Ovis aries: one gene and its partners. The protein of the gene in region 2 purifies or fractionates together with the protein of the main gene of each other region. This does not show direct contact. Links are inferred from orthologs where the notes say so. Each region holds a gene or a part of one and is shown on either strand. Other genes may lie near its edges.

Region 1 (4,374 bases), on a different chromosome or scaffold from region 2:
CCCAATTCTACTGTAAAATACTACCAAAACTTAAGTTGCATTTCTCCAATTATTTTCTGAATCATATTTTCTAGGAAATTCCTCAAGGAGAGTTTGGGAGCAATATTTCCTGAGTTCTTGTATGTTCATAATGGTCTATGTCTCTAAAATATTATCATATATCTGATAAGAAAAGATAAATAACTCCTACAATTCAACACCAACAAAGCAACCTAACACAGGCAGTGGATGTGAATACACATCTCTGCAAAGTAGATACACAAATGGCCAATGAATAGGTGAAAACATGCTCAATATCACTAATTGTTCAGTTCAGTTCAGTCGCTCAGTCATGTCTGACTCTTTGCGACCCCATGAATCGCAGCACGCCAGGCTTCCCTGTCCATCACCAACTCCTGGAGTTTACCCAGACTCAAATCCATCGAGTCAGTGATGCCATTCAGCCATCTCATCCTTGGTCGTCCCCTTCTCCTCCTGCCCCCAATCCCTCCCAGCATCAGAGACTTTTCCAATGAGTCAACTCTTCACATGAGGTGGCCAAAGTACTGGAGCTTCAGCTTTAGCATCAATCCTTCCAAAGAAATCCCAGGGCTGATCTCCTTCAGAATGGACTGGCTGGATCTCCTTGCAGTCCAAGGGACTCTCAAGAGTCTTCTCCAACACCACAGTTCAAAAGCATCAAGAGAAATGCAAATCTAAACTACAGTGAGTTATCACCTCACACCAACTAGAAAGAAAGAAAGAAAGAAAGTGAAGTCGCTTAGTCGTTTCCGACTCTTTGAGACCCCATGGAGTGTAGCCTACTAGCTCCTCTGTCCAAGGGATTTTTCCAGGCAAGAACACTGGAATGGGTTGCCACTTCCTTCTCCAGGGGATCTTCCCAACCCAGGGATTGAACCCAGGGCTCTCGCATTGCAGGCAGATGCTTTACCATCTGAGCCACGAGGGAAGAATCCAACTAGGATGGACAGCCACTATTTAAAAAAAAAAGAAAGAAAGAAAAAGCAAATAAACATTGACGAGGATGTGGAGAAATTGGAGTCTTTATGGCACCCCACTCCAGTACTCTTGCCTGGAGTATATGGGTTTTTTTTTTAATTTAAGATTTCTCTTTGATGTGGATCATTTATAAAGTATTTATTGAAATTATTTTTAATATTGCTTCTGTTTTATATTTTTGTTTTTGTGGCTGGGAGACATGTGGGATCTTAGCTCCCAGACCGGGAATCCAACCTATACCCCCTGAACTGAAAGTCCAAGTCTTAACCACTGGACAGTCAAAGTGTGTTCTACGTCACAGAGGTTTGAAGGGGAGGGCAGCCCCCATGGTGCGCTCTTCACTTTTAAATCCAGCCTTGCTAACTCTTTGATCCAATCACAGATCTCTAGAGTCTCCACCTACCCTTTCTCCGGATAGGAATGGCCTCCTCACTCCGCTAGGTGCCGCCCTCGCCGCGGCCCTCCCTCGCCCTGCCCCTCGCCCCGCTCCTACGAGTTTCCTCCAATCGCAGTCCTGGCCCCGCCTCCTACCCCAGCCTTTTTCCTGCATCCGGGCTTGAAGAGGCCGCTGTGAAGGCCAGCGAGCAGCATGGAGGTTCGCGGCGAATCCCAGTCCGGCCCAAGCTGTTCGTCGTCCTCCCGGGATGGCTCCGGGGTCTCGGTCTCCAAGGAGTTGCTGATGGCAGGGAGCGGCGGCCGCGGAGGTGACGGACGGGTGGGCGGCAGCGGCGTGGGGCGCGCACGTGCAGCTGGGGGCGGCGCTGCTGGAGCCGCGGGTCAGGGGCTACCTGCGTAGCCCCTGCACCGCCGAGGGACCCGGACATGCCCCCGGCTGCGGGGTTGGGGGACTGGCCGGCCTAGGTGTGGGCATCCGGCCTCGAGCCCGAGGGTGGTTTGTGTTTTCATGTTTTAGGCACAGTGCTGAGTGCCCAGTGCTGAGCGCCGCAGCACGACCTCCCCTCGCCCCCCTCCCCCTCCCAAGGGGACGACCTTAGAGTCAGGTCTGGGTTCCAGCAGTTGGCTTAAGGGGAGCAGGTGAGTATTATGGATTGAGCACCCTCTCTCTGCAGATGTTCACAGAGCCTCCCTTAGTGCGCTCCCTTAGTGAGCTGCTCTGGTAGAGGGAGACGCGTCCAGGAAACCCTCGTAGGTTTTTAGACATCATAATAGAGAGCTAAAAAAAACAAACAAACTAGGGTTCGAATCCCAACCCCACGAGTAATTAGCTGTCGAACTCTTTTTGGAGGGGGCCGGTGTTGGATAATAAAGTTCATTCGAGTGGGAGACGCTGTTAGAACAGATGGCTGGCTCAAGGAAGAGCCAACCAGCTGTGGAACCTTTTTGTGGCCAATGTCCGACGCTTTGCGACCCCATGGACTGCAGCACTCCAGGCTTCCCTGTCCTTCACTATCTCCCTGAGTTTCCTGAAACTCATGTCCGTTGAGTGGATGATGCTATCCAACCATCTCATCCTCTGTCGCCCTCTTCTCCTCCTGCCCTCAGTCTTTCCCAGCATCAGAGTCGGGCTCTTCACATCAGGTGGCCAAAATATTGGAGCTTCAACTTCAACGTCAGTCCTTCCAATGAATATTTCAGTGTTGAGTTCCTTTAGGATTGACTGGTTTGATCTCCTTGCAGTCCAAGGGACTCTCAAGAATCTTCAGCACCATAGTAGGAGAGTTGTTTACATCCCCAGTGCTTCAGTTTTTACATTTGGAAAATGGAAGTAGTATTACCTATAATGTTTGTTTGTTTGTTTGTTTTCTGAGAAGAAGAATGAGTGTAATGTTGTGGGCATATCCTCATTAAATGTTAACTTGAAAAAAGATTCTGTGAGAATGGAGAGCATTCGAAGACAGTATAATAATAGCTGAAGCTTCTTAGTGCCTACTCTGCCCCAGGAATTAATTCGCTAAATTTAATCCTCACAACCTCCCTGTGTGGAGTTGGTTCTGTTAGGGCAGTTGTATAGAAGAGGAACCTGAGACCTGGTGTATCACACAGATAAGTAACTTGTTGGAGATCATGTGGGTGGAAAGTGGCAAAACTGGGATTTGAATCCAATCAGTGTGGCCCCAGAGTCCATGCTCTTTTCACTAATCCAGTTATTAGGTATAAGCTATTGATAGTACGCTAGGAGTGTTGAGCTGCTGCTTTGAGGGTGAACAGGATTTTTATACCAGAGTGAAGAGATTTTCCAGGTGTGGGAACCAGGGTGCATAAAGCCTTGGGTTTTGAAAGTTAAGTCCTGTTCTCTGTGCTCTGATGGGCTGGAGAGTTGGGTTGATTTGAGGAGCTGTGAAAAGGCTAAAGGGGTTCTCTTTAAAGGGCTGTTTTGTCTACATCAGACATCTTGACTGAAAGGGAACTTACCAGGCAGAGATGTTTTATAAATGAAGAAATTAATACTCAAAAAGTGTAGGTGATTTGCCCAGTATAATGCAACTGGTAAACCATTTCTGGCTTTACTTAACCCTTATGTACTCTGTACTGCTTCCTGCATTCTGTCAGTGCCGACCTACATTTGTTGCTGGTAGATTTCTGGCCCAGAAAGGTGCAGTTTAGTGGGCATTTATTACCTGACATTGGTGAGGCAGAGATGTAAGAGACAGGTTTAAAGGGGGGAGATCTGCAGAAAGAACTAAAATGTTGTAATGAAACTTGGAGTGCTCTTTTTTTTTTTTTTTTTTTTTTTAATGTGTTAGAAAGTGAGGAAGGAACAGTCAAGACTTGAGGATGGAGGGTGGTCTCAGAAAGTCTGCTCTTGGGCTCCTGTTTCTTTGTGCCTTAATAAAGGAAGTGTGTGTGTGTGTTTTCAGGTATATGGGACAGGTTGCTCATCGACTCCAAGCCTAATTCCAGAAAGAATTCTGCTCTTCAAACAGTTCGGATAGAGAGGAGTCCCTGTAAGTACCCTTCCCTCTCTTCTCTTTCTCTCTCTCAAGAACCCTCTCTGATGTGAAATTCTGCCTAATTAATCACTTATTTGTTGGGACAGTGTCTGCTTTTGTTGTCAGAGTCCATTCTAGCAAGTCTTACTTGGAAATTACATCGTGAATTCAGTGCACAGGGATAAAATTTCTTGCATTATTCCCCTGCAGTAAGAGGGCGGGGCTTAAACCATGCAGGAGACTGGTTTGATTCCTTGGTTGGGAATCTCATGGACAGAAGAGCCTGGCAGGCTACAGTCCTTGGGGTCACACTTAAGAGGGTAACCTTGCCCAGAAAAACTTGTGGGATGAATTTTTGGAATTCAAAATCAATTATTGTTAAACTCCATGGGAAATTTTTCCAGAGGTTACTGAGTCCCAAATTTCACACACAGATGTGGGAAAACACCACCAGATTTGATTAAATTGGACACAGTAAGTTAAA
Region 2 (3,875 bases):
ATTTCATGGCTACAGTCACCATCTGCAGTGATTTTGGAGCCCCCAAAAATAAAGTCTGACACTGTTTCCACTGTTTCCCCATCTATCTGCCATGAAGTGATGGGCCTGGATGCCATGATCTTCATTTTCTGAATTTTGAGCTTTAAGCCAACTGTTTGACTCTCCTGTTTCACTTTCATCAAGAGGCTTTTTAGTTCTTCTTCACTTTGTGCCATAAGGATAGTGTCATCTGCATATCTGAGGTTATTGGTATTTTCCCGGCAGTCTTGATTCCAGCTTGGGCTCCCTCCAGCCCAGCATTTCTCATGATGTACTCTGCATAGAAGTTAAATAAGCATGGTGACAATATACAGCCTTGACGTACTGCTTTTCCTATTTGGAACCAGTCTGTTGTGCCATGTCCAGTTCTAACTGTTGCTTCCTGACCTGCATATAGGTTTCTCAAGAGGCAGGTCAGGTGGTCTGTATTCCCATCTCTTTCAGAATTTTCCAGTGTATTGTGATCCACACAGTCAAAGGCTTTGGCATAGTCAATAAAGCAGAAATAGATGTTTTTCTGGAACTGTCTTGCGTTTTTGATGATCCAGTGGATGTTGGCAATCTGATCTCTTGTTTTTCTGCCTTTTCTAAAACCAGCTTGAACATCTGGAAGTTCATGGTTCAAGAATTGCTGAAGCCTGGCTTGCAGAATTTTGAGCATTACTTTACTAGCATGTAAGATTATAGTAAGGAGTTATCATGCAAAAAGTCCCTTTAACTGTGGTGCTCCTAGTCTGGCCTCCCTGCTTCTTTAATATCAGTGTCCCAACTGGTTTTCAGACCACTTTATTTCACTTCTGTATTTCACATTTATAGGTTTTTTTGAATATCCCCTTCTTTAAGTGAATTTACTGTCATTCATTCATTTATCTTTGGACTGTGCTAATCAGATTGCCTTCCCGTTTCTTTCATTTTCCCATACCCCAAGTGATTGATTTATTTTTCTGTATGACAGCTACCTTTCAGTAGACCCAAAAGCTTAAGAATCACAGCTCCATTTTTTGATGATTTTTAAATTGAGATTCTCATTGAAGTGGCATATCTCTAAATTTTTTTGCCACCACATATATACTTCATTAAAGAATATTAAATAGGAGACAGAACAGGAGAAGGAAATAAAGCTGAATTTTAATTAAGAACTCTAAATAGGATTTTAAGAGTTTATTTTTGGATTTCATCTTTTTGGGCTAAAGAGTCAAGGTACCATAGAGATGTGTACGATTAATAATGTGCTGTATTTTTTGTTGGCCATAATCCTTCATAATTTCCTTCTCTTTACCAGTTTATTAACCTTTAGGAATGCTCTTTTTAAAAAAGTCTTACCTCTGTGCCTTGGTTTGAAGGCTGCTCATTTATTGGAATCTGTTATACTCTAAAGCTGCCATTTCTGTTAGTTGTATGCCTGTTAACTCCTTTTGGTCTACTTAATCATTTAAATTGTCTTCCACCTTTTTCACTCTGCCTCTGTTTTATACATTTTACACTAATATTCTTTCTCCACTTCACTTTTCCTATTTTATAGAAATTATTTAATTTTTTTATTAGATAATAAACATGGTTTAACGCCAAAAGGTATATAAAGGTTTTACTCTAATAAGTGTTTATCCTTCCTGTACTTATTTCTGATTCACCTAGATCTCTCTATGTAAGTAGAAAATATTTACAGTTTATTATGATTCCTTCAAGAGATATCCTATGCAATAAGTAAATTAATGCATATACTCTTTCTTAACCCTTTTGAAAAATACAGTATGGTACCAAACACTCCCTCATTCTTCTTGTGGTCTCATGTCAGTCAGCTCTACTTGGATCTGAAATTTTAGACACCCAATCAGTATTCTTGATGAAGGTTATTTCTTTGGGAATTCTATTAAATTAGTATAGTATTTACCTGATAGATTATATTCAAATAATGATCTCACATTCTTTCTTCATGCATAGAAAAGTGTTGTTGTTTTTTTTAAGAAAACCTTATTGTTGTAAGTAAACAACCTATTAAATTCTACTAAGATAATGAAATTATTTTTATCTTTATAGTTTGAATCAGCTTGGGTACTGACAAATATTGCTTCAGGAAATTCTCTTCAGACCCGGATTGTGATTCAGGCAGGAGCTGTGCCTATCTTCATAGAGTTGCTCAGCTCAGAGTTTGAAGATGTCCAGGAACAGGTAAAAGATGAAACAAGTAAAGAGAAGCAGGTTAAAGAATACAGTTTTTCCTGAGTCTTATATTCAGGAGTCTTAGTGTTACCACTTGGATATGACAGTCCATGGTTCTCACATGGAGTGTTCCAGAAATCTAAATGTAATCTAAATAGGAAGTTTCATATTGAATATAGGCAGAATTTCTCCTAGAAACATAAAACCGTTTTTCCATTCCAACCCTGAAATTCTTGAAGTCTCATACATATACATCTTAGACCATGTAAGCACTTACTGAGTTTTTTTTGTATGTGTGTAATACTGTTTAGTGTTGATTGAAGTAGCAAGTCTTTGTTACTTTTGTGCAGAAAATCACTTAGAAAAAAATGCATTTTTCATTATTGCAAACTTTGTCAAACTCATAAATACAAATTGTTACTAAATGAGTACGATTTTATTCTACAATTTTATTAAGGTATAATCAAGCTACAGTTAACTGCATATGGTTAAAGTGTATAATTTGTAAGTTCTAACATATGTGTGTACCCATGAAAGATTACAGTCAAGATTGCTAGTATATCCACTTCCCAAAATTGAGTCAAGTTTTCTGCGTTTTTATTGCTCTTAATTTCTTGGCTCACTGTTTTCTTTTGTAAGCAAGCTTAAAATACATTTTAAATCAGCTGAGTAAACCATTTGGATCTCTGATATGTTCCAAGGGCTGCACAGAATGTTACTTAAGGATAAGACCCCCTAAGGTAAAGAATATATAAGAACTGGTACCTCTTTTTAATGACTTCACTACCATAAGTATATTCACATGCATACTGTTAATATTACTGATCTTCTACCAGTCACATAACAGTTTCATTTGACTCCCTGATGAGTGAGCTTAAAGGTATTAGTAGTTAATGTCCATGTACAATATGTTGATTAGCTACTGTGTTATTGGCATCTTTTTTGAAAGAACTATGAGAAAATTAAACTCTACAGCCTGTCATTAATGAATAATTCTTTCACAGGCAGTCTGGGCTCTTGGCAACATTGCTGGAGATAGTACCATGTGCAGGGACTATGTCTTAGACTGCAATATTCTTCCCCCTCTTCTGCAGTAAGTTTCTTTCTGTTTTGTGAGTAATAAAAATATGGGACGTTCCTCAGAAACAAATGCATCTTTGGAAATCATTTTGGATTTCCTAGTGTTGCTTTTCATTACAAATATTTTCTTATTAACTTGTTCAGCTCATTTCCTTGGGCACTGTCTTATTCAGGTGTGTAAAAAGAAGTGCCAAAATTCTGAATTCTTTGTGTTAGAATTAAACTTTATTGTTCTGGAGAAGAGCTATTTGAAGACATCTGTCTATCAGTAGCATTAAGTGGTTAAATATTTATCTTATGCCATCAGAGAATTGATGCCCATTATATCATTTACCAATTGCATCATTATACTTATAGGTTATTTTCAAAGCAGAACCGCCTGACTATGACCCGGAATGCAGTATGGGCTTTGTCTAATCTCTGTAGAGGGAAAAGTCCACCTCCAGAATTTGCAAAGGTAAGGATTATGCTTGTGGGAAATTGGCAGAAAAAGTACAGTTAAAAGAGTGTAGCAACCAATGTTAATGTGAATAGAAAGAGAATGATTTTTGATAAACGAAAATGTTAGAATTTTGTTTCTAGAAAACTAGGTATAC
Region 3 (3,875 bases), on a different chromosome or scaffold from region 2:
ACCCTACAATGTTAATAATAATGATTTTTGAAATTGGAGAATTGATCTTTTAATTAATATTTAATTCCTTGTTTCCCCTCCTTGTAGAATATATGATTCATACTGGTTCATATATTAGTAGCAGTGAATATACTGTTGCTGTTTGTGTAAACATTGTTAGAATTCAGTGTTTTTTGTTAATGTGCTAGTTATTAAAATTGAATGTGTGTGTACTTTACAGAACAGTCTTTCCAAATCATACAGTGAAGAGAGTGGAGGATTCCAGTAACAATGGGCAGGCGCATATTCATGTAGTAGGAGTAAAACGTAGGGCTATCCCACTTCCCATTCAGATGTACTATCAGCAGCAACCTGTTTCTACTCCTGTTGTTCGTGTTGATTCTGTACCTGATGTATCTCCAAGTCCTTCACCCGCAGGTATTAATTTTTATTGTGATTAAATATTATCAATTTAATAAGAAGGCTAAATGAAAACATGTATTATATACATTTAAGATGTATGACTTGTCCTTGTTTTTCAGTAACATTTTATTTCTTATTCTATTTTATCATATTCATATAATGCAGAGTTGTTAATTTCTTAAAACTGTTTTCTCTTGAAATTAAGTAAAATAATTTCTACATGCTGCTTTTCAGTCATTTCACTGTGAATTTTAACTTTTCCTTATATTTTCAGGAATCCCTCATGGACCACAAACTGTAGGAAACCATTTTCAGAGGACTCCTGTTACCAACCAATCTTCAAGTTTGACTGCAACACAAATGTCTTTTCCAGTACAAGGTGTTCATACTGTGGCACAGACTGTTTCAAGAATTCCACCAAATCCTTCAGTTCATACCCACCAGCAGCAAAATGCTCCGGTGACCGTCATTCAAAATAAAGCTCCAATTCCTTGTGAAGTTGTTAAGGCTACAGTAATCCAGAACTCTATACCCCAGACAGCAGTTCCTGTTAGTATTGCTGTGGGAGGAGGAGCTGCACAGAGTTCTGTGGTTCAGAATCATAGTACAGGGCCACAGCCTGTTACAGTTGTAAATTCCCAGACACTGCTTCACCATCCATCAGTAATTCCACAGCAGTCTCCATTACACACAGTGGTACCGGGGCAGATACCTTCTGGCACTCCTGTTACAGTGATTCAGCAAGCTGTCCCACAGAGTCATATATTTGGCAGAGTTCAGAACATACCAGCATGTACTTCTACAGTTTCACAGGGTCAACAGTTAATCACCACATCACCCCAACCTGTACAAACTTCATCTCAGCAGACATCAGCTGGTAGCCAGCCACAGGACACTGTTATCATAGCACCCCCACAGTATGTAACGACTTCTACATCCAATATTGTCTCAGCAACTTCAGTACAGAATTTTCAGGTAGCTACAGGACAAATGGTTACCATTGCTGGTGTCCCAAGTCCGCAACCCTCAAGGGTAGGGTTTCAAAACATTGCACCAAAACCTCTCCCTTCTCAGCAAGTTTCATCAACAGTGGTACAACAGCCTATTCAACAGCCACAGCAGCCACCCCAACAAAGTGTAGTGATTGTAAGCCAGCCAGCTCAACAAGGTCAAACTTATGCACCAGCCATTCACCAAATTGTTCTTGCTAATCCAGCAGCTCTTCCAGCTGGCCAGGCAGTTCAGCTAACTGGACAACCAAGCATTACTCCATCTTCCTCACCATCACCTGTCCCAGCTACTACTAACCAGGTCCCTACTGCCATGTCATCTTCTTCCACCCCTCAACCGCAGGGACCACCTCCTACTGTCAGTCAAATGCTGTCTGTGAAAAGGCAGCAACAGCAGCAGCATTCACCAGCACCTCCACAACAGGTACAAGTACAAGTTCAGCAGCCACAACAAGTACAGATGCAAGTTCAACCACAGCAAACGAATGCAGGAGTTGGTCAGCCTGCTTCTGGTGAGTCGAGTCTGATAAAACAGTTGCTGCTTCCAAAGCGTGGTCCTTCAACTCCCGGTGGTAAGCTTATTCTCCCAGCTCCACAGATTCCTCCCCCAAATAATGCAAGAGCTCCTAGTCCTCAGGTGGTGTACCAGGTGGCCAATAACCAAGCAGCAGGTTTTGGAGTGCAAGGGCAAACTCCAGCTCAGCAGCTATTGGTTGGGCAGCAAAATGTTCAGTTGGTCCAAAGTGCAATGCCACCCACTGGGGGAGTGCAAACCGTGCCCATCTCGAACTTACAAATATTGCCAGGCCCGCTGATTTCAAATAGCCCAGCAACCATTTTCCAAGGGACTTCTGGCAACCAGGTAACCATAACGGTTGTGCCAAATACAAGTTTTGCAACTGCAACTGTGAGTCAGGGAAATACAACTCAGCTCATTGCTCCAGCAGGAATTACCATGAGCGGGACCCAGGCAGGAGTTGGACTTCAGGTGCAAACGCTTCCAGCCACTCAAGCATCTCCAGCTGGACAATCATCTTGTACCACTGCTACTCCCCCATTCAAAGGTGATAAAATAATTTGCCAAAAGGAGGAGGAAGCAAAAGAAGCAACAGGTTTACATGTTCATGAACGTAAAATTGAAGTCATGGAGAACCCGTCCTGCAGACGAGGAACCACAAACACCAGCAATGGGGATACAAAGGAAAATGAAATGCAGGTGGGAAGTCTTTTAAATGGGAGAAAATACAGTGACTCAAGTCTACCTCCTTCAAACTCAGGGAAAATTCAAAGTGAGGCTAATCAGTGCTCACTAATCAGTAATGGGCCATCGTTAGAGTTAGGTGAGAATGGAGCATCTGGAAAACAGAACTCAGAACAAATGGACATGCAGGATATTAAAAGTGATTTGAAAAAACCTCTAGTTAATGGAATCTGTGATTTTGATAAAGGAGATGGTTCTCATTTAAGCAAAAACATTCCAAATCACAAAACTTCCAATCATGTAGGAAATGGTGAGATATCTCCAATGGAACCACAAGGGACTTTAGATGCCACTCAGCAAGATACTGCCAAAGGTGATCAACTAGAAAGAACTTCTAATGGACCTATATTAACTTTGGGTGTTTCACCATCTGTGAGCAGTATACAGGAGGCCTCAAATGTGGCAACACAGCAGTTTAGTGGTACTGATTTGCCTAATGGACCTCTAGCTTCAAGTTTGAATTCAGATGTGCCTCAGCAACGCCCAAGTGTAGTTGTCTCACCACATTCTGCAACCTCTGTTATACAGGGGCATCAAATCATAGCCGTTCCCCACTCAGGATCAAGAGTGTCCCATTCTCCTGCCCTGTTGTCTGACGTTCGGTCTACAAATGGCACAGCAGAATGCAAAACTGTAAAGAGGCCAGCAGAGGATAATGATAGGGAAACAGTCACAGGAATTCCAAATAAAGTGGGAGTTAGAATTGTTACAATCAGTGACCCCAACAATGCTGGCTGCAGTGCAACGATGGTTGCGGTGCCAGCAGGAGCAGATCCAAGCACTGTAGCTAAAGTAGCAATAGAAAGTGCTGTTCAGCAGAAGCAGCAGCATCCACCAACATACGTACAGAATGTGGTCCCACAGGTGAGTCATTTTCCTGTCACATTTCTCTTGAAAAATCCTGATGCGTAATTATGATTTTAGGGGGAAATGCACTGTTCTTCCATGTTTTACCTTGAAAAGGTAATTGGGAGGACCTTTTCCAGGGATGAGGGAGCCCGGTGGGCTGCCGTCTATGGGGTCGCACAGAGTCGGACACGACTGAAGCGACTTAGCAGCAGCAGCAGCAGCAGCAGCAATGTACTCAGGAGAAGGCAATGGCACCCCACTCCAGTACTCTTGCCTGGAAAATCCCATGGATGGAGGAGCCTGAAAGGCTGCAGTCCATGGGGTCACTAAGAGTCGGACATGACTAAGCAACT
Region 4 (4,608 bases), on a different chromosome or scaffold from region 2:
TTAGTCGTGTCCGACTCTGTGCAACCCCAGAGATGGCAGCCCACCAGGCTCCCCTGTCCCTGGGATTCTCCAGGCAAGAACACTGGAGTGGGGTGCCATTTCCTTCTCCAGGAGTCAGGACAGATGTCTGCAATAGCTTAGCTATGTAATCTCCCTTCAGTTACCAAAATAAAATGGGCCCAAGTGACTTCTAAGTTCCTTTATAGGTACTAAATTCATATTTCAAAAATATAAATTCATTTTTTCCCATACAGTCTATACTAAGGAAATAATAAAACAAGTCTGTAAAAAGACATGTTCACTGCAAAACTGGCTACACTTTAAATGTACACTATCAGAAACTAAATAAATGATGCTACCTCCATGCAGTGGAAAAACTGGGAAGTCATTAAAAAGGAGCTAGATCTTTATATTTTGGTCTAGAAAAGCATCCTGGATAAACAGCTATATTGTTTCTTTTTGAAAGGAGATTACAGAATAGTAAAAAAGTACAAACAATAAGATCCCCTTTATGCCGAAATGGCAACCCACTCCAGTATTCTTGCCTGGAAAATCCCATGGTGGAGGATCCTGGTAGGCTAAAATCCATGGTGTTGCAAAGAGTCGGACACGAGTGAGCGACTTCACTTCACTTTTGCCGAAAAAAATTCAATTAATATTTCTTCACCATGTTTACATACAAGAAATCACTGGACTGGGCACCGGCAGAAAAAAATGAATAAAATAGACATTTTGGTGGGGAATTCAGACAAAAAAATTAAACACATAGGCATATGACTATTGAAGCCATGAAGGAATAAAAAGGGTGCGAGAGTGACTGTAAAGAAAGGACCCTGTTTTAGTGAGAGTGCTTGAAGAAGACCTTTGTGGGAAGGGCACATTTAATCAGAATTCTGAATCATGTGAGAGCATAATCTCCGGAAGAACGGGGTGTGGGGTACTGGAGGGTCTGCAGGCCGAGGGAACAGTAACTGCAGCGCCCTTGGGCCGGGAAAGGACCAAGGGTGCCTGAGGAACAACGTGAGAGGCGCCAGCGTGGCTGGAGAGCAGGAGAGGGGACCCCAGCCTGAAGCACACACCTCCAGCTCTGTCAGCTGTGCTGAGGTCTGAGCCGGGCGGAGACTTCACGTTCCGTCTGGAAGGCTCCCCAGGAAGCTCCTTGCAGTGGATCACACAGGAGCAAGACTAGATGCAGAAAGGCCGGCCTGGAGCATCCAGGCGAGGACTGTGAGACCGAGGGAGGAATCCCTCACGGCTGCCATGCGTGCACATCTTTAGGTTTGAAGAGAGCAGGTCAGAAGCGAAGGCGCCAGGGTGTTGAGGCAGCACAAGGGAGCAGTTTGCAATGATGACGCAACATCAGCGAGTCTCGACTCAGGCGGCCCGGGCGAGAGAGGCCCCCTCGCGGGGGCGCCCGAGCACCCACCGCCCGCCGCCCCGCCGGAAGTGCCCTCCCGGCCCGCCGCGCCGCGCCGGGGGAAGATGGCGCAGGAGGCCGGCGACATGGACGATGGGCAGGTTTCCGACTCGGATTCCGACATGACGGTGGCACCCAGCGACAGGCCGCTGCCGGTGCCGGTGAGTGCGGAGGGCAGGCGGGTGACTCGGGGCCGGGAGCGCGGGGCCCAGGCGTCCTCCTGTCGGGCGCGCGGAGCCCGGCAGGCGGCGGGGAGACGGCGGGCCCTACGAACCTGGCCTGGCATTTAGCTGCGAGGCGGGGTGCGCGAGGCGTGCGGCTTCCCGGAGGCGGGCGTGCGGTCGTCTTTCCCGCCTCCCGTGCTCCTCTCCTTGTTTTCTAAACCTACGGAATTCCCCACTGGGCGTCGCTGGGTTCTCCCCGAAGGGCAAATTCTCCCGAACATGTAGAACGTGGGGACGTCGGCCCACCACCAGCCTGTGGCGCTCATTTGCGCCCCGAGGAGAAAGGGAGTGAGGATCGAGAATGAAGTTCATCTCTTGCTCAGGGGCCTGTTCTTCCATATTCCCATGGAACCTAGCTTCGTCGTGCCCTAATGTGCCGCTGGGTTTTATGTTAGCTTCCCAGGTTTCTAAACAGGCGTTTATCTTGGCCGCCCTACTAAGTAGCAAGCTGTTTTGAGAAGGCTTTAGTGCCGGGCTGCCCGCGTTGGAATTCCAGAGCCGCCACTGTGTGTTCGGTGACAAGGTATTCAGCCTGTGCCCCATCTTTAGAGTGGGAATAATAGTACCACAGTGATAGGTGGCTGTAAGGATTCGGTGGAGCCTAAATGGTGGCTGACAAGTGCTAGTGCCGTTATTGTTTCCAGATACGGAGACTGCTAGATTTAAAATACCCCTCCCCAATTTCTAGCACGGATTAGGAGCTCAACAAATACTTTGATGTTTAGTTGAAAAAGCAAAGGTGATTCCTTTTGCATAGAAGCATCTTGGGAAATCGGTACCAAGATATTTTGTTCTTCAATCTTTTTCAATTTTCCTTAGATTGACTCCTGACTTAGTAAACGTAATGCCATGGACTCTGCGGTTTTACAAGTAATTTGTCAGGGATGCTTACACATAGGACTTCACTCTCTAGTCTAAAAGGAACATAGTCCCAAAACCTTATAAAGGTAGTTGATATATCCACATACATGACAGGCACCTTTGGAAAAGAGGAAAACAAGTTCTAACTGCCTGTAACAATTGTTCAACATGTGATTTTCAAACGTTCTGACAACTGAAAAGATTGAAAATCTTCTGAAAGTGAGAATTAAGAGCTTTGATAATTTTCTGGAAAGCTGTTTTAGCACTAAGTGCTGCATTAGCTATATAGAAATAAGAATTTGTGGCTTTAAAAATGGAAATTCCAGGGAGTTCCCTGGTGGTCTAGTGGTTAATATTGGCCACATCGACCTTGGGGGCTCAGATTCAATTCCTGGTTAGGGAGTAATCTTTGGAAGATCTCTGAAACCAGTTCAGTCCCTTACATGGATTTCTCTCTCTCTCTCTCTCTCCCCTTTTTTTTTTTTTGGCTGCTTGCAGGATACCCGAGTGACACAGGCTAACACTCACAGGGATCCTCAAGTGGCCAAAAAGGAAGTTCCATGTAAACCTTTAGAAATTCAGGCACCGAATTGGTTTCAGAGATCTTCAAAGATCACTGCTGCTTTAAAATGGTTCAGCTGAATCCCTAATTTTTTTTTAAATAGCACAGGGTGTGTGGGTAATGTCTTTTGTGGAGTTGATTGTGATTTTCCTTCACTTGCAGAAAGCGCTAGGTGGGGACTGTGCACTGCGGCCCTTCCAGAGTACTGCAACAGTGTGTGCCCCGGCATCCCATTATCGGACTGTTAAAAGTGTGGATTCAAGTGAAGAGAGCTTTTCAGATTCAGATGATGATAGCTCTGTCTGGAAACGCAAGCGACAGAAATGTTTTAACACCCCTCCCAAACCAGAGCCTTTTCAGTTTGACCAGAGCAGCCAGAAACCACCTATAGCTGGAAGGAAGAAGGTGAACAACATATGGAGTGCTGTGCTGCAAGAACAGAACCAAGACGCAGTGGCCACTGAACTTGGTATCTTGGGAATGGAGGGCACTATTGACAGAAGCCGACAGTCTGAGACCTACAATTATTTACTTGCTAAGAAACTTAAAAGAGAATCTCAAGAACATACAAAAGAATTAGACAAAGAGCTAGAAGAATATATGCATGGTGGCAAAAAAATGGGACCAAAGGAGGAGGAAAATGGGCAAGGTCATCCCAAAAGGAAACGACCTGTCAAAGAGAGAGTAGGAGACAGACTAGAAATGAACTATAAAGGCCGCTATGAGATCACAGAGGATGATTCTCAGGAGAGGGTGGCTGATGAAATTTCTTTCAGGTGAGCATTTAAATATTTCTACAAGTGGACACTTGACCAATTGTCTTCCATTTATAAGATATACCATAGATCCCAAATACATTGATGGTGGTGTTCCTTTCTGAGATTTTTAAATCCAAGGCAAGAACTGGGCTTATGTGGTTATATGAATATGAATATGGTTGGCTGTTCTTAAATTTGGGCAGACCTGATAGAATAATTTTGTAGATTTTTGTGAACTTTGAGCCTCTCTTTCTATTGAGGGCTATAGAACTCCTCAGATAAAAAGATCCTTTTAAATCATGTGGGTTTCTTGGAGTGTTTTTTTTGTTTTTACAACTTTATTGAGGCTTATTATACATGTAATAAAATTTGTCCTCTTTAAGTTTGACCTTTTTTTGGTAAATTTATCGATTGTACAACCATAAAGCACTTTTAAAACATTTCCATCACCCAGTAAGATCCCTCATGCCATATGCCCATTTAAAGTTAGTTCCTATTCCCATTCCCAGGTAACTAATCATTCTATTGCTGTCAATTTGCATTTTTTGGAAATTTCATGTTAATAGAATCGCAATATGTAGTCTTTTGTGCCTGACTGTTTTCACATAGTGCAGTGTTTTTGAAATTCGTCCATGTTACAGCAGTCATTAACAGCTTATATATTTACACACACATTTGTATTGGCTATTACACTTTTTGGCGATTATGAATAATTCTGTTATGAGCTTCCATGTACACATCTTTGGACACATATTTTCATTTATTTTGGATAGGAGTAGAGTTGTT
Region 5 (4,545 bases), on a different chromosome or scaffold from region 2:
CCTACACCTGCGTGCTGGGCTTCCATGTCTACGGTGAGAAGGGGCACAGGGCCGTGGAAACCTGCGTGAGTGTGGGGGGACAAGGTGCAGCCAGCCTGGGGCTCGGAATGCTGGACATGTGTAGGGGGTGGACGTCAAGAAACTGGCAGATCCAGCCCAAGAGCCGCCCCCCTCCCCCACCTCCGCCACTGGCCCTCGGGACTGGGAAGGATTGCCAGGAACGTGGTGGGTGGGTGGCCGGGCTGCCTGAGCTAGGGGGGAAATGGTGCAGCTCTGGACCGCGGGTGGGGGCGGGGAGGTCGGGCTGAGGCCGGCTGCTGTGACAGGCGTGTGGCCAGATGGCTCGGATGGAACTGACATCAACTCCCTGTGCCGCTCCCACAACGAGCGCGTCGTGGCCGTTGCCGACGACTTCTGCAAAGTGCACCTCTTCCAGTACCCGTGCGCGCACGCCAAGGTGAGGCCTCCCGGGGCCTCCGGGGTGGGGCGGGCGGCCGGAGCTCCTCGGCCGCTGCAGCTCCATCTTCTCTCCTGCCCAGGCGCCGAGCCTCGTGTACGGTGGTCACGGCAGCCACGTGACCAGCGTCCGGTTCACGCACGACGACTCGCACCTCATCTCGCTGGGCGGCAAGGACGCCAGCATCTTCCAGTGGCGAGTGTTGGGCGCTGGGGGCACGGGGCCGGTGCCCACCACGCCCTCTCGAACCCCCTCCCTGTCCCCTGCCTCCTCTCTTGACGTCTGACCCCTGCCGGACTGGACCCACCGGCCCTGCAGTGTGGCCCTGCCCCCACCCACCCAAATTCCCCAGGACCGAGGTGACCCTGTCCTCGACTTCGAGACATTCCCAAAAGTGCATTTCCTTGGAGGGGGCGAACGGCACCCCTGCACACACTGTATAGACCCGCTGGCTGAGCCGGGCAGCCCCAGCCTGGGCCCTGACTCCCGCTGCCTGCTGAGGGGCAATAAACCAAAAGCAAAGTCGCCTCCCGGTCCTTTTGTGGGGCGCGGCTGGGCGCCTCGGGGCTTTATGGGGGCGGGGAGGAAGGCAAAGGGGAATGCGGAAAAGGTGAGGGAGGGTGGACTTTTTATGCAAATAACAGGCGAAGCCTCTTGCAAATAACTGCGAGGCTCAAAGGCCCTTCGAGTTTTTCGCGGCCGCTGGTGGAGCTGCAAGACTCCGGCTAGCAGAGAGTTAAGCCCAACTCCTCTCCCCGCCCTCGGAGGCGGGGCCGAGCCGCAACGGAAATAGCCGAGTGCCGGGCCGCGGTTGGCCGGAGGGAGCCGAACTTCTTCCGGAAGTAGCCGAGCTTTGCGGGCTTGCTCTCCGACCGGAGCCGAGTGCTGGGCCTTGTTCTCCGGATCCGCCGAAGGTGTTCCGGAAGGAGGCGAACCCCGAGGCGGGCCGGCAAGTCTTCGCGGCGGCCCTCAGAGTCCAACGTCTGGTGGGACTCGGCGAGGGCGGAGGTAGTTGCAGCCTGCCTCCGGTCCGGCGGGATCCGAGCTCGTTCCGGAAGAAGCCGAGCGGACCGGCGCCGGTCTCGGCGTCCCGGGCGTGAGGCTATAGAGGCGGCGGCGACAGCGCGGGCCGGGATGAGCCGCGACGGCTGAGGCTGCGGAGGCGCCGGCTGCGCGGGCCCGACTGAGACTTCTGCGAAGCGCCGGCCCCGCGCTCAGGGCTTCGCTTCGAGTCCTGCCCTCGGGAGCCTTCCGGACCCCTTTGTGCGGCCGGAGGCGGCGGCGGCGGCGGCGGGAACGGCCATGGCGGCCAACATGTACCGAGTGGGGGGTGAGTACCGGGTGTTAGGGGCTTCGGGACTCGGGGCGGGAGAGGCTCGGCTCCCAGCGGCGCGGGGACCCGCGTCTGGGGCGGCGTGGTCCAGAGCGCGGACCGGAACCGGAACCGGGAGCATGGGGAGCGAGGGCGCGGGGATCGCGACGCGCCCGGGCTCCGAGACTCCCGGGGAGGCTGCGGGCGGCCCGACGGCACTCTCAGGGCAGCGTCTGGGCCGCCGGGGTCGTGGAGTGGGCTTGCGAAAGTGGTTCCAAAGGGGCTGACAGGGCAGGCAGGGGGCGCGAAGGGCCGGCGCAACTGCTTGGCCACCAACGGGGGAGCGGCCGGGAGGTTTCCTTTTCCCAGGCGTTATTGTGCGCCTCGGTTCACAAAGGTGGGGGCCCTGTACAGGGATGAGCAATTGCTCTCCTGAACGAGACCGGGATGCAACTCCATCGCTGAGTTGTGGGGACTGCTGAGCAGGGGAACCCCCTGCTTCTCTTGTCTCCTCCTTAAGGCTCACTTTTGAGCGGAGGATCTGATTTAATAACTGGGTGATTAGGGGGTGGAACGTCCGTCCATTATTTTCTGCTAGTCTGTACACTTCCACATTTCTGCGTCCTCTCTACCTAGACCCTTATCTCCTTTTGGTCTACTCAGGCCTCCTTTCGCTCCTCCCACTCTGGTGCTGGACTCTCCCATCTACTCCTCTGATCTTCCCGGTTCTTCCCCCACCCCCTCCTACAGATTACGTCTATTTTGAGAACTCCTCCAGCAATCCTTACCTGGTTAGAAGGATTGAAGAGCTCAACAAGGTGAGTAGAGCAGAGGCCCGCCACTCCCCCCCTACCCAGCAACCTCCGTCTTCTTTTTTCAGAGATCTGTAACTTCAGGTGAATGAGAGACAAGCGATAACAGAAACCCTGTCCTAAGTACCCATGCATATTCATTCATTCATTTCTTCCACGCTTTCAGGAAAGGCTATTAAGAGTTTAGTGGGAACTTTACTGTTCTGTTTTTTGGGGGGCTGAGGAAAGGGATTTGGAAGTCTGTCCTTAAATGTGAATCTCTTGATTCATAATTTGAGTTTTTCTTACATCCTTTAGAAACTTGTTCACTGATGTTAGTCTCTTCTTTATGCATTTCCACTTTCAAATGATTAGTTTTCACCACCGTTTTTTCTCTCCTTAGACTGCAAATGGAAACGTGGAGGCAAAGGTTGTGTGCCTTTTCCGGCGAAGGGACATTTCGAGTAGCCTCAACAGCCTGGCTGATAGTAATGCCAGTGAGTGTCTTTGTCCCCACCCCCGGTTTCCCTGTCTCCCCCTGCCCATGATCTGAAGCCTGGGCATGTCCCTGCAGGTGTTCTCTTGTAGCATGCCCAAGGCAGGGGTGTGAGTTTGGGGGTGGGAAGTGCCTGGTCTGCAGAGGGAGGCCTGTTTTTACATGTTGGGTTAGAAGCAAGGTGGAGAGGCCATGATAAGGAAAGCCAGAATTTGGCTTGTGTGTGAGTGTGTATTTTTGAATCTGCCTTTGTGAATGGTGTATGTTAAAGAGATGATAGTATGTAAATCGGGGATGAGGAAGCACTTTAGAGAAGCAGATCTCTAGGGGGACAGTTTCGGTTGTGTTGGGATGATAGGTGGTGACTGCGAAGGTCAGGTGAAGAGAAGAGACTGGACTGAGAAGCCTGCATAATAGGAAGGCAGGTTTTTGGTGTGATCATGAGGTGGTAAGACTACACTGATGGGAGAAAATAGGAAGCCAGGAACATTTTCTTGCGCTTTTTCTCTATTCTCACATAGCCTAGGACTCACCTAGCCCTGGACTCCATTTTACATCTTTCCCTTTTCTTTTCAGCCTATCCTGCTTCTCTTGATGCTTTCATCTTTTTAGATACACAGCTTTCTGTTTTCTTATAGTTTCTTTTTCCTTTCCTGCTTTGGCTTTCTTTCCCCTTTCTCTTGTTCTTCCTTTCTAAATTATTTTCCTTATTTTGGGCTTCTTTGAGCATTGGGCGTGAAGGGGTTAAGGAGGACCTGGGCCGACCAAGTTCTCTGGCTCTCTGGGGTTTCCAACCCTGTCTGGCAGGGGCTGACCTTGGTCTTGTCCAATCGGAAAGGCTGTGGGGGGTGTGGTCCCCCTTGCCTTAGCACAGGGTTTCCGGAGCACACAGGCAAGGGGTGGAGCCTACTGCACACCCCTGCCCCCCCCTTCTCCTTGAGGTTGGGAACAATGCACCAATGAGCCTGGGCCTGTGGCTCTTCTGCCCCCTCCCTGTTTGGTTGGCACCCAACCAAGTTAACCCTTTCCACTAAGGTTTCAGGGCAAGTTGCAGCTCCTTGGGGAATAAGGTGTTGGCACTGGCTTGAGAGGTACTGTCCTTGAGAGCCCCCAAAACAAACTATTATTAGCAAGTAGAAAACAAGAGAGTAAGGGTTGCATGTGATGTTTAAGAGCAGAGTCTCCTGAAATTTGCAGAACTGGTAAACACAATTTTGTTTGATGCTTTTATTTATTTATTTATCGTCACTGAATTTCTGGACCCCAGGTTAGTTTAGCAAGAAAGAGACAAGTGCAATATTCTTGCTGGGCCTGGTGTGGGCAGATTTGTGCCATATGAGTGGTATCTGAGCATTGGCACCTGGGTTTGCCATGTGTTTCTGTGGCAGCCTTTGTACTCTCAGCGTGTGTATGTACAGTTGTGTCTGACTCTGTGACCCCATGAACATAGCTTGCCCGCTTCTCTGTCCACGGGATTTCCCAAGCAAGA
Region 6 (3,875 bases), on a different chromosome or scaffold from region 2:
CAGGACTAATGACCGCTACCAGGGACTGAACTCTGCCTGGCCCCACAATATGGAATGGGCTGAGCTTTCCATCTACCACCCCATCAAAACCCAACCAAAGTACATACTTAGTCACCTCAGTCATGTCTTAACTCTTTGTGACCCCTTGGACTATAGCCCCCCAGGCTCCTCTGTCCACGGGATTCTCCAGGAAAGAATACTGGAGTGGGTTGCCAGTCCCTCCTCAAGGTACCTACTATTTGCCTATTTCACAGATGCAGAAACTGAAGATCAAAGTGAGCTGCCCAAGAAGCACCAGGACCTGAATTTTAGCAGGCTGTCTCCAGAGGGCTGAAGGGCTCTGCTAAAGTGCCTGCTTCCCCCAAAGGCATCTCTATTGTTCTCTCCTCTACTTTAGAAGCTATTGACTTGCAGGTGCCACTCTCAGCCTGCACTACTACTGCTGTCTAAGGGAAGGGCAGAAGACTCGATAACCGAGCAAAGGAAACTGGGAAACACTGATGCCACCTCTCCACTCCAGTCTGATGAAAAGTCAGGCAGGGTAAACTGGAACTGTTAAGAGCAGAGAGGGCCATCGGTCACCAGAGTTTTCTAACCTAGCCGTGGAACTCTGATCCCCAGTGAAAAGTTCCTGACTAGAGTGCTTGGATCCTGGAATCCAGGAATTCTCTGATATTACATGGGAGTTAGGTGTGTCTGTGCTGTGAATTTCTCTGGACAGCCATTTTTTAGCTTTCATCAGATTCCAGAGAGGTCCAGGGCCTCCCTCAAATTAAAAGCATCGGCTAGTGAGGGTTCCCCAGCCCTACCGTACCTCATGAATTGGCTGAAGGCTTTGTAGTTGGTGAGTGTGTGGTAATCTTCCTCGGAGAACACATGTTCCACGTCCTCCAGGCCCCAGGTCAGAAGTAGGGTTGCTGATGACTTCTGTTCCACTTGCTAGGATACCAGGCTTCTGTTAGCCAGGTGCTCTCCTAACTCCAGTCCTGGGCTCCCCCCACCCCCTGACATGCCTCCCTGCCCACTCACCAGCTTCTCTGGGCTTCCAGTTTTCTGTTCCATTCCCAGCCCAATCCCACTCCTCATAAACCACAGCCTCTCCATTTGTCACCCTGCTTGCCCAGGGCTCTCCCTCCCCTACTCTTCAGGCTTGTCATTGATACAGATTTCTTCCCTCACTCCCCAAATCTACTCACCTTTTGCCCCCCCTCTCCCTCCCCTTTTTTCCGCCGCTTTGTCTTCTTCTCCTTTTTTTCTCGGTGCTTCCGTCTCCGTTTCCGACCTGGTCCGGTTCCATATTCACTGCCTCCACTCTCTGACTTCTCCCGGTACTCATCTCGCTCAGAGCCAAATTCCTCCTCGCTGTCCTAAGGAAGAGAAATAAAAACACTATTTTTTGAGCCCTAGCGTGTGCCAGGAACTCCTCTTAGCACAAAATATCATCGTCTCTTTTAAACTTCACAACAATCCTATGAGACAGCAACTAATCTATTTTTATCCATTTTTTTTTTTTTGTAGAGGAAACTGAGGCACGGAGAGCTAAGTAAGCTGCCCAAGAAGATAGAGGACTGCTGGGCTGTGAATTCATGCAGTCTACCTGCAGTGCTTCCAACAGCTTCTCTGTGTTGCAGGGCAAGTAAAGTCGACAAAAGGGCTCTTCACTAGGATGTAGTGAGTAAGGTTAGGGTCCCAGACCTGGGAGATACAGGCTAGCAGGAGTGGGGCTAGGGGCAGGCAGAGGGAGTCAGGTCTCCCTGACTTCAGGGTCCCCATGGCAATCAGGCCCAGAGAAATCATAGGTCTCTGGGATGGGTCTCCAAGCCTCACTGTAGAGACAGGCATGCGTAACACTTACAAGCTTCTTGCGTTTCCGGGGCTTTCCTGGCTTGTTCTCCTTCTGTTTCTTAGGTCCTCGCTTCCTCTTCTTCACGCCCAATGTTGAAGGCAGCAGTCGAATGTCATCCTTATCTTTGGAGCAGACAGCACCGGAAAACCTAAGCCTCTAGGCTCCCAGCCTCTGCAGCCCTTTTCCTCCCTCACCTCCTTGGTTCCTGCTCTCTAGGAAATCCAGCATTAACTCTTCCAAACCTTGCCTCCCTTTGCTGGACGCAAACAGAGAGTGTTTCGAGTACTCTGGGATGCCTGGGTTGTGAATGGGAGGTCAGGGGTCAGAAGAGGAGAGCAGCCAAACCACTCCTGTCTCTCCCCTCCTACTAACAAGGGACCAGGCTCTAGGCCATGGGCTCTGACTGTGGCAGGTCCTTTTAGTCGCCGCCAGGGCTCCTCCTGCCTTCCCCCTCACTTAGCCAGCTGGCATCCTGCCCAGGAACTGGGGAAGCCATGCCCAGCTGCTGGCCTGGCCTGACCCCAGCACTTGGAGTGGGGAGACACAAGCTGGCAGCTCCCTAAGCCAGATGCTGAGAAGGCAGAGCCAAAGGTGGACACCTGGGCTCTCACACTAACACCCTGGGGCCCTGACATCCTTTCTGTGAGGAGTGAGGCCTCTATTTACACTTCCTCAGATAATCACCCAGACTCCTGTCACCCCAGCATAGCCCTGGAGGAAAAGAAACCCTCAGTCAGCCATGTTCACTTCTGGCCCACAGGATCTTGGTGTCTGGCTCCTTTGTCACTCCCTAGCCCCACAGGAGAAGGTCTCCACAATTACCTATACATTCTTCCTCCTCCTCCCAAGCAGCCTCAATTGTGCCTTCAAATCTACATCCACATCCCTGTTCCCTTTGAGAACTCAGGCGCCCTACCCGTTGTCCCTGGTCTCACCCCTTGCCTCCAAATGTAGTCTCAAGCATTCTAACCCATTCATATCTAAGCAGTATGGGAGACCCACACAAAGACACTGGACAGGCATAGACACACCCCTCAAATGCATTCTCAAATGCACAAGCATCACATACTCATGAGCACAAACCCAGAGGACAATTTGTACATGCTTTTAGCAGGGCTAGGTCCCTGGCTTTCTCTCCAGATGTCCCTGTCAGACAATCTGGGGCTGGTTCTTCCCAGATGTCCCCCTCTCCCCATTCTCCATGACCCCTGCCACACTGTGGAGGCTTAGGGTTCAGAGAATAACTACTTCAGGAGGAAGACACAGCCGATGCCACACAGAAGTGAGGCCCCGGTGTGAGGCCTCCCTCCCCCAGCAAGCACTAGACTAACCAGCCAGACCTGTCCTGCTCAGGTAGAGGCAGCAGCGCTGGAGGGAAAAGCCTGGGCCGGCCCAGCCCCTTGCTCTAGGACACACAATCCTTCTCCCCACAACAGCCAAGGGAAAATTAGCCACAATTTACACCGGAGGCCTCGGGTTTCCAGCGCCTCAGAATCGCGGCGCCTCCTTCCTTCAGTGCTACTTCTCACAGCTCCGGCATCCTGTGCCCTCTCGCGCGGGACGGCACTCTAAAATTGGGGGGCTGTGGCGCGGGGGGGGGGGGGGGGGGGAAGTGCCTGCAGGCAGCCCGGGGTGTGAAAACAGAGTGGGTACCGTAATAGGAAGTCAGTAAGACGCCGTGCCCCGCAGCCAGCGCTCTCTCACCCCAGGGACTCCGCTAATACGAACATGGAAACGGAGGCTGCCGGGGCAGTAGCAAGGGCAGGCCAACTGGCTGAGGATCAGGGAAATGGCCTCGGTCTCCGCCAGCTGGGGGTGGGGTGGTGGGGGGACACCAGCCCTGGGACCTCGCAGCCAGTTAACTCCACTCTCCACCCCAGCGGGAGGTTCCCCAACTTGGGAAGACGGCGGTAGTGCGGGGACGCAAAGTAGACGGCTAGGAAAGGAGAGGGAGGGCAGGAAAGCAAATCTAAGTCCCAACCTCTGCCTCACCAGCCACTCAATGCTGGCCGCGCGCCCAGACTCTCCC
Region 7 (3,875 bases), on a different chromosome or scaffold from region 2:
TCGGGAACTCTCCTGACATACCTGGGGTGTCCTGCTGTGACCCCTGGACGTTGACTCAGATCTATAAGGAGGGTCTTTGTTTCTGCTACCACTGGAGGAGGCCCAGGCCTCACTGCTAGAACTGGACTTTCTGCTTCCAAGCTTGTGGCTCTGTGCACTGAATCCTGGCCTGTGCCCTTTAAGAGGGGTGGGTTCTGAAGGTACACTGCTGGTGGGCTCTGGGCTGGGGGTCTGGCTCTAGCCTGGCTTCTTGCAGCTTGGTGGGTGTTGGAAGTAGAGCTCCTCCATCGGTTGTGAGATGTACTTGTCATAACCTCTAGGGAGTGTCAGGAGCCTTCAGGGCCCCAATCTCATAGATCCCCAGAGTGGGTCGGGAGACTGGCTCCTGGTAGAGCCACCTCTGATCACCCCCTCCCTGTGGGCTGATGTGACAGTGGTGGAGTGCGGGTGTGGGAAGCTGCCCTTTGCTCTTCTCCTTCTTTCAGGCAGCTAGAGAGAGACCTGGCCCGTGGCCCTGATTGGTGTCCACTCTCAGCTGGTCCCACCTGTCTCCCCACAGCCCCAGTGGTCGTGGGCCCACGGTGAGGGCCCCCCCACTGTTCAGGCCGGCCGTGGTAGTCCCAGCAGCTCAGGAAGGGTGGGGCCCACAGGCTCAGTGACTGCCAGCCCTGCCTGCGTGGTGGGGTGTGCCTTCTAGCCCCAGAGGTGTGGGCCAGACTCTCCCCTGGCCATCCGCGCTCACCTGACAAAACTACCTGGCGGTCCTGGGCCCTCAGTTCTGCCCACACGGGCTTTCCTGCCCGGGGGTGTGCTCCCAGCGCCACTTCTTCCCCGTGCCCCTGGCCTTGAAGGAGGAAGCTTGTCTTGGGTCTCTGGACCCTGAGAACTGAGAGAAGCCTTTGCTCAGAAGGGGAGGGATGTGACTAGCTTGACTCTGAGGGTAGCCTCAGGGCTGCATCTTCCTCTTGTTACCAGATCCTGTCGCCCGGGGTCCCCAGAGGGGAGGCTGAGACTGGTGGGCCAGTCGGTGCAGCCAGGTTCTTCTGGCTTCTCCATATGAGAGACCAAAGCAAAGGGACAGGGACACTGGCCCTGCCTGCCTGTCCACCAGTTTGGGTCTGATGACATCAGAATACTGGTTCCCTGCTGCAGAGGCATCCCCTGCTGACCTCTAGAGAGTTACCCCAGCCCAGGTTTGGAGCCCTGTGGCTCCTGCTTGCCAGGCCTGGAGTCACACCTAGACTAGTGCTCTCTCTCAAGACTTCTGGGACACATGACCTCCCTCCTCACTGACCCAGTTTTCTTGTCTGTTGTGAGGACTGGATGCAGTTGTTCCCAAGAACCCAAGGCAGCTCTCATGTTTCCCTCTGCTCTCTTCCCCCAGTGTTCTCGGGAGGCTGTCCTTTGAGCCCTGCCTGGCCACAGCACCTTCTTCAGGACCCAGTTGTCCTTTGTGCCCAGCAGCCCATGGCAAAGGTGCCTTCAGGGCCTCCTGCCAGCTGCGCCCCCAGCTTCTCTCGCCACCTGACTTGCTGGCTGTCTCTGATCACGCAAAAGACCTCGGGCTTCTCGGAGGCTTCCCACACCAGCTTCCCCCGGCCTGACATCATAAAGGACTTGGATCGCTGCCCTGGGCTGCCCCCCACCCACCTTCTCCATCCTTTCTTCCTGCGTCCTTGACTAGGCACTGTGTTCCAGTGCTCGGTGGGGGCTTTGCCTTCAGAAGCCCTCTGGCCTTTGGTTGGTCGGTGTTCAGGAACCAGCAAAGGCTACCAGGTAGCTGTGGTGGGACCAGAGCCATGTGTGAATGTGGAGCTGGGCCTAGGCCTCCTTGGGCTCTGCCTCTGTTCACTTCCAGCCCTTCCACACGCTGGACCTGGGGACCTGCCTGTTGGGTCTCCAGGCAGGGGTGGGCATGTCTGGGAGTGTGGGACCCCAGTCCTCTGGCAGGTGCAGCACACGTCCCTGGAGGGTCTCTAGGCTTGAGAGGGGTGAGGTGGGGCCGCCCCATCTGGCTGAGAGAGCCCTGGGGTCCTTTTCCCTGGGGCAGCAGGGTCTTTGCAAGTCAGCTGGACCAGTCCCTAGTTGACCCACGAGGAGACGGGAGCATAGAACAGAGAGTGCTGGCCTCACCTAGCCTGGCCAGAGTTGGTCTGATGGGGCCATGTCCTCCCCAGAGCCCTGCGGGTGACCCCACATGCGTTTCCTTTGCAGGACGAGATTAGATGCACCCCGATTGGAAACCAAGTCCCTGAGCAGCTCCGTGCTGCCACCCAGCTATGCCTCAGATCGTCTGTCGGGAAACAACAGGGACCCTGCTCTGAAACCCAAGCGGTCCCACCGCAAGGCAGACCCCGATGCTGCCCACAGGTACTCAGCTGTGGTCCCTCAGTGCAGGCCAGCAGAGCGGTGCCACTACCTGACTGCAGAGTGAGATGGGTGGGTGGTCTGGGGTAGGTGGTTTGGAGCCTGCCATCGCCCACTTTTTCAGAGCCTTCTGTCTGCTTTGCTGCAGTTGGTGGTGTTCCCAGCTAAGCCCTGACTACCTTCCTGTGGGGATGCTGCAGGCCTCCCCTTGTTCAGGACACGCTAAGGTGCTCCTGTGGGTTCTGTGGGAGTTGGAGGGGAAGTGAGGGACTTGGAAGTTTGCGGAGCAGGGTTTCCTCCCAGTAGGGTTCTGAGGAAGCTGTTTACACCAAGACTGGAGGATGGGATGGTATGTAGGAAGGGCAGTACGGTCAGAAGGTGCCATGTAGGCTGAAACCCCAAGCCAGGAAGAGCTTGGTAGTTCCTCGGGTAGTGGGGCTGGTGAGCAGAGAGGGAGAGTGGGCATTGAGGAGGACTGAGAAGCCAGGGAGGCAGCAGGACCAGGCAGGGTCTCAAGGCTGCGATGGGAAGGCCACCTTGTGTCCGACAACCTTGGTAGTGTCCTGGGGTACAGAGTCAGAGCCCAGCAGACCCACGGGTGACTGGGGCGTATCTCAGAAACTGGGTTTGGGGCACTGGCATCTCGTGGGGCCAGGGCACGGGGCAGTGCTTCTGCCAGTGCCGCCCCACAGGGAACCAGCCAGCGGGGGTGGCTGGGTAATGCCTCCCTGATGCCTCCCCACAGGCCTCGCATTCTGGAGATGGACAAGGAGGAGAACCGGCGGTCTGTGCTGTTGCCCGCACACCGGCGGGCGGGCCGCTTCAGCTCCGAGAACTACCGGCGCAAGTCCTACGAGCCCGGGGAGGACTGCTCGGAGGCGGCGGGCAGCCCCGCCCGCAAGGTGAAGATGCGGCGGCACTAAGGCAGCGCCTCCGGACTCGCGTGATCCTCACTAGCTGCCCCTCCTTTTGTTCTGTTTTGAGGGTCCCCCCCCCTTTTTTTTTTTATTCTATTTTTTTCCCCTTGGTTTGTTGCCTGTTAAGGCTGAAGAACGGGATTGGCCAGGACCTGGTTCTCTTGTTCTGGGTTTCCTCCTGGATGGAAAGGCTGTTGGCATCTGTAGGCACAGAAGCGCACACTGGAGGGGCCAGTAGAGGCGTGGAGGGCTGTGTCAGGCTGGGTTATTTAAAAACAGCGAAATGTTTTGGTTAAGAAAATTCTTGTTTTGCTTTAAATGTAAATCTTCTCAGTGTTGTAAATGAAGTTCTGTCTCCTCCCTCTCCTCCCACCTATGTCTGCACTGGGGTGAGGTCCTGCTGGCTTTGCAGGGGGCCTGCTGCCTTCCTACCGCTCACCTGCTCTCCAGGCCCAGCAGCTCAAGTGGATACCCCTCCTGCCGCTGTTGGGGAGATGACAAGCAGAAGCCTGGATGGTGTCAGCCCCTGCTGCCGTAGAGCTGTTACTGGCTGAGACCTCGGGCTTCTTGCATGCCCTCTGGCCTGCTCTG

The links.
Region 1: the proteins of KPNA1 (region 2) and NOPCHAP1 purify together in Homo sapiens (co-immunoprecipitation; 3 studies listed by BioGRID and IntAct, with this or other methods). This does not show direct contact. The link is inferred for Ovis aries from reciprocal best matches to the Homo sapiens genes KPNA1 and NOPCHAP1.
Region 3: the proteins of KPNA1 (region 2) and ARID2 purify together in Homo sapiens (co-immunoprecipitation; 3 studies listed by BioGRID and IntAct, with this or other methods). This does not show direct contact. The link is inferred for Ovis aries from reciprocal best matches to the Homo sapiens genes KPNA1 and ARID2.
Region 4: the proteins of KPNA1 (region 2) and PHAX purify together in Homo sapiens (co-immunoprecipitation; 4 studies listed by BioGRID and IntAct, with this or other methods). This does not show direct contact. The link is inferred for Ovis aries from reciprocal best matches to the Homo sapiens genes KPNA1 and PHAX.
Region 5: the proteins of KPNA1 (region 2) and MTA2 purify together in Homo sapiens (co-immunoprecipitation; 3 studies listed by BioGRID and IntAct, with this or other methods). This does not show direct contact. The link is inferred for Ovis aries from reciprocal best matches to the Homo sapiens genes KPNA1 and MTA2.
Region 6: the proteins of KPNA1 (region 2) and CHD3 purify together in Homo sapiens (affinity purification with mass spectrometry; 3 studies listed by BioGRID and IntAct, with this or other methods). This does not show direct contact. The link is inferred for Ovis aries from reciprocal best matches to the Homo sapiens genes KPNA1 and CHD3.
Region 7: the proteins of KPNA1 (region 2) and ALKBH5 purify together in Homo sapiens (co-immunoprecipitation; 3 studies listed by BioGRID and IntAct, with this or other methods). This does not show direct contact. The link is inferred for Ovis aries from reciprocal best matches to the Homo sapiens genes KPNA1 and ALKBH5.

Annotation. Positions count from the first base shown.
Region 1 is NC_056056.1:174,141,232-174,145,605, forward strand, and holds the start of NOPCHAP1 (NOP protein chaperone 1), read left to right. Parts: upstream 1-1,299; 5' UTR 1,300-1,588; coding exon 1,589-1,703; intron 1,704-3,818; coding exon 3,819-3,905; intron 3,906-4,374. UniProt on the Homo sapiens protein: Client-loading PAQosome/R2TP complex cofactor that selects NOP58 to promote box C/D small nucleolar ribonucleoprotein (snoRNP) assembly. Acts as a bridge between NOP58 and the R2TP complex via RUVBL1:RUVBL2.
Region 2 is NC_056054.1:187,730,082-187,733,956, reverse strand, and holds part of KPNA1 (importin subunit alpha-5), read left to right. Parts: intron 1-2,076; coding exon 2,077-2,208; intron 2,209-3,203; coding exon 3,204-3,292; intron 3,293-3,636; coding exon 3,637-3,736; intron 3,737-3,875. UniProt on the Homo sapiens protein: Functions in nuclear protein import as an adapter protein for nuclear receptor KPNB1. Binds specifically and directly to substrates containing either a simple or bipartite NLS motif.
Region 3 is NC_056056.1:140,643,995-140,647,869, reverse strand, and holds part of ARID2 (AT-rich interactive domain-containing protein 2), read left to right. Parts: intron 1-220; coding exon 221-417; intron 418-676; coding exon 677-3,537; intron 3,538-3,875. UniProt on the Homo sapiens protein: Involved in transcriptional activation and repression of select genes by chromatin remodeling (alteration of DNA-nucleosome topology). Required for the stability of the SWI/SNF chromatin remodeling complex SWI/SNF-B (PBAF).
Region 4 is NC_056058.1:25,008,474-25,013,081, reverse strand, and holds the start of PHAX (phosphorylated adapter RNA export protein), read left to right. Parts: upstream 1-1,461; 5' UTR 1,462-1,482; coding exon 1,483-1,578; intron 1,579-3,226; coding exon 3,227-3,840; intron 3,841-4,608. UniProt on the Homo sapiens protein: A phosphoprotein adapter involved in the XPO1-mediated U snRNA export from the nucleus.
Region 5 is NC_056074.1:37,480,415-37,484,959, reverse strand, and holds the start of MTA2 (metastasis-associated protein MTA2), read left to right. Parts: upstream 1-1,378; 5' UTR 1,379-1,759; coding exon 1,760-1,787; intron 1,788-1,891; exon of another isoform or gene 1,892-2,166; intron 2,167-2,519; coding exon 2,520-2,587; intron 2,588-2,963; coding exon 2,964-3,057; intron 3,058-4,545. Other genes in the region: EML3 (echinoderm microtubule-associated protein-like 3), read left to right, coding at 1-33, 327-457, 540-743. UniProt on the Homo sapiens protein: May function as a transcriptional coregulator. Acts as a component of the histone deacetylase NuRD complex which participates in the remodeling of chromatin.
Region 6 is NC_056064.1:27,388,667-27,392,541, reverse strand, and holds part of CHD3 (chromodomain-helicase-DNA-binding protein 3), read right to left. Parts: intron 1,969-3,875; coding exon 1,856-1,968; intron 1,368-1,855; coding exon 1,197-1,367; intron 940-1,196; coding exon 815-939; intron 1-814.
Region 7 is NC_056064.1:34,171,315-34,175,189, reverse strand, and holds part of ALKBH5 (RNA demethylase ALKBH5), read left to right. Parts: intron 1-2,214; coding exon 2,215-2,370; intron 2,371-3,112; coding exon 3,113-3,290; 3' UTR 3,291-3,875.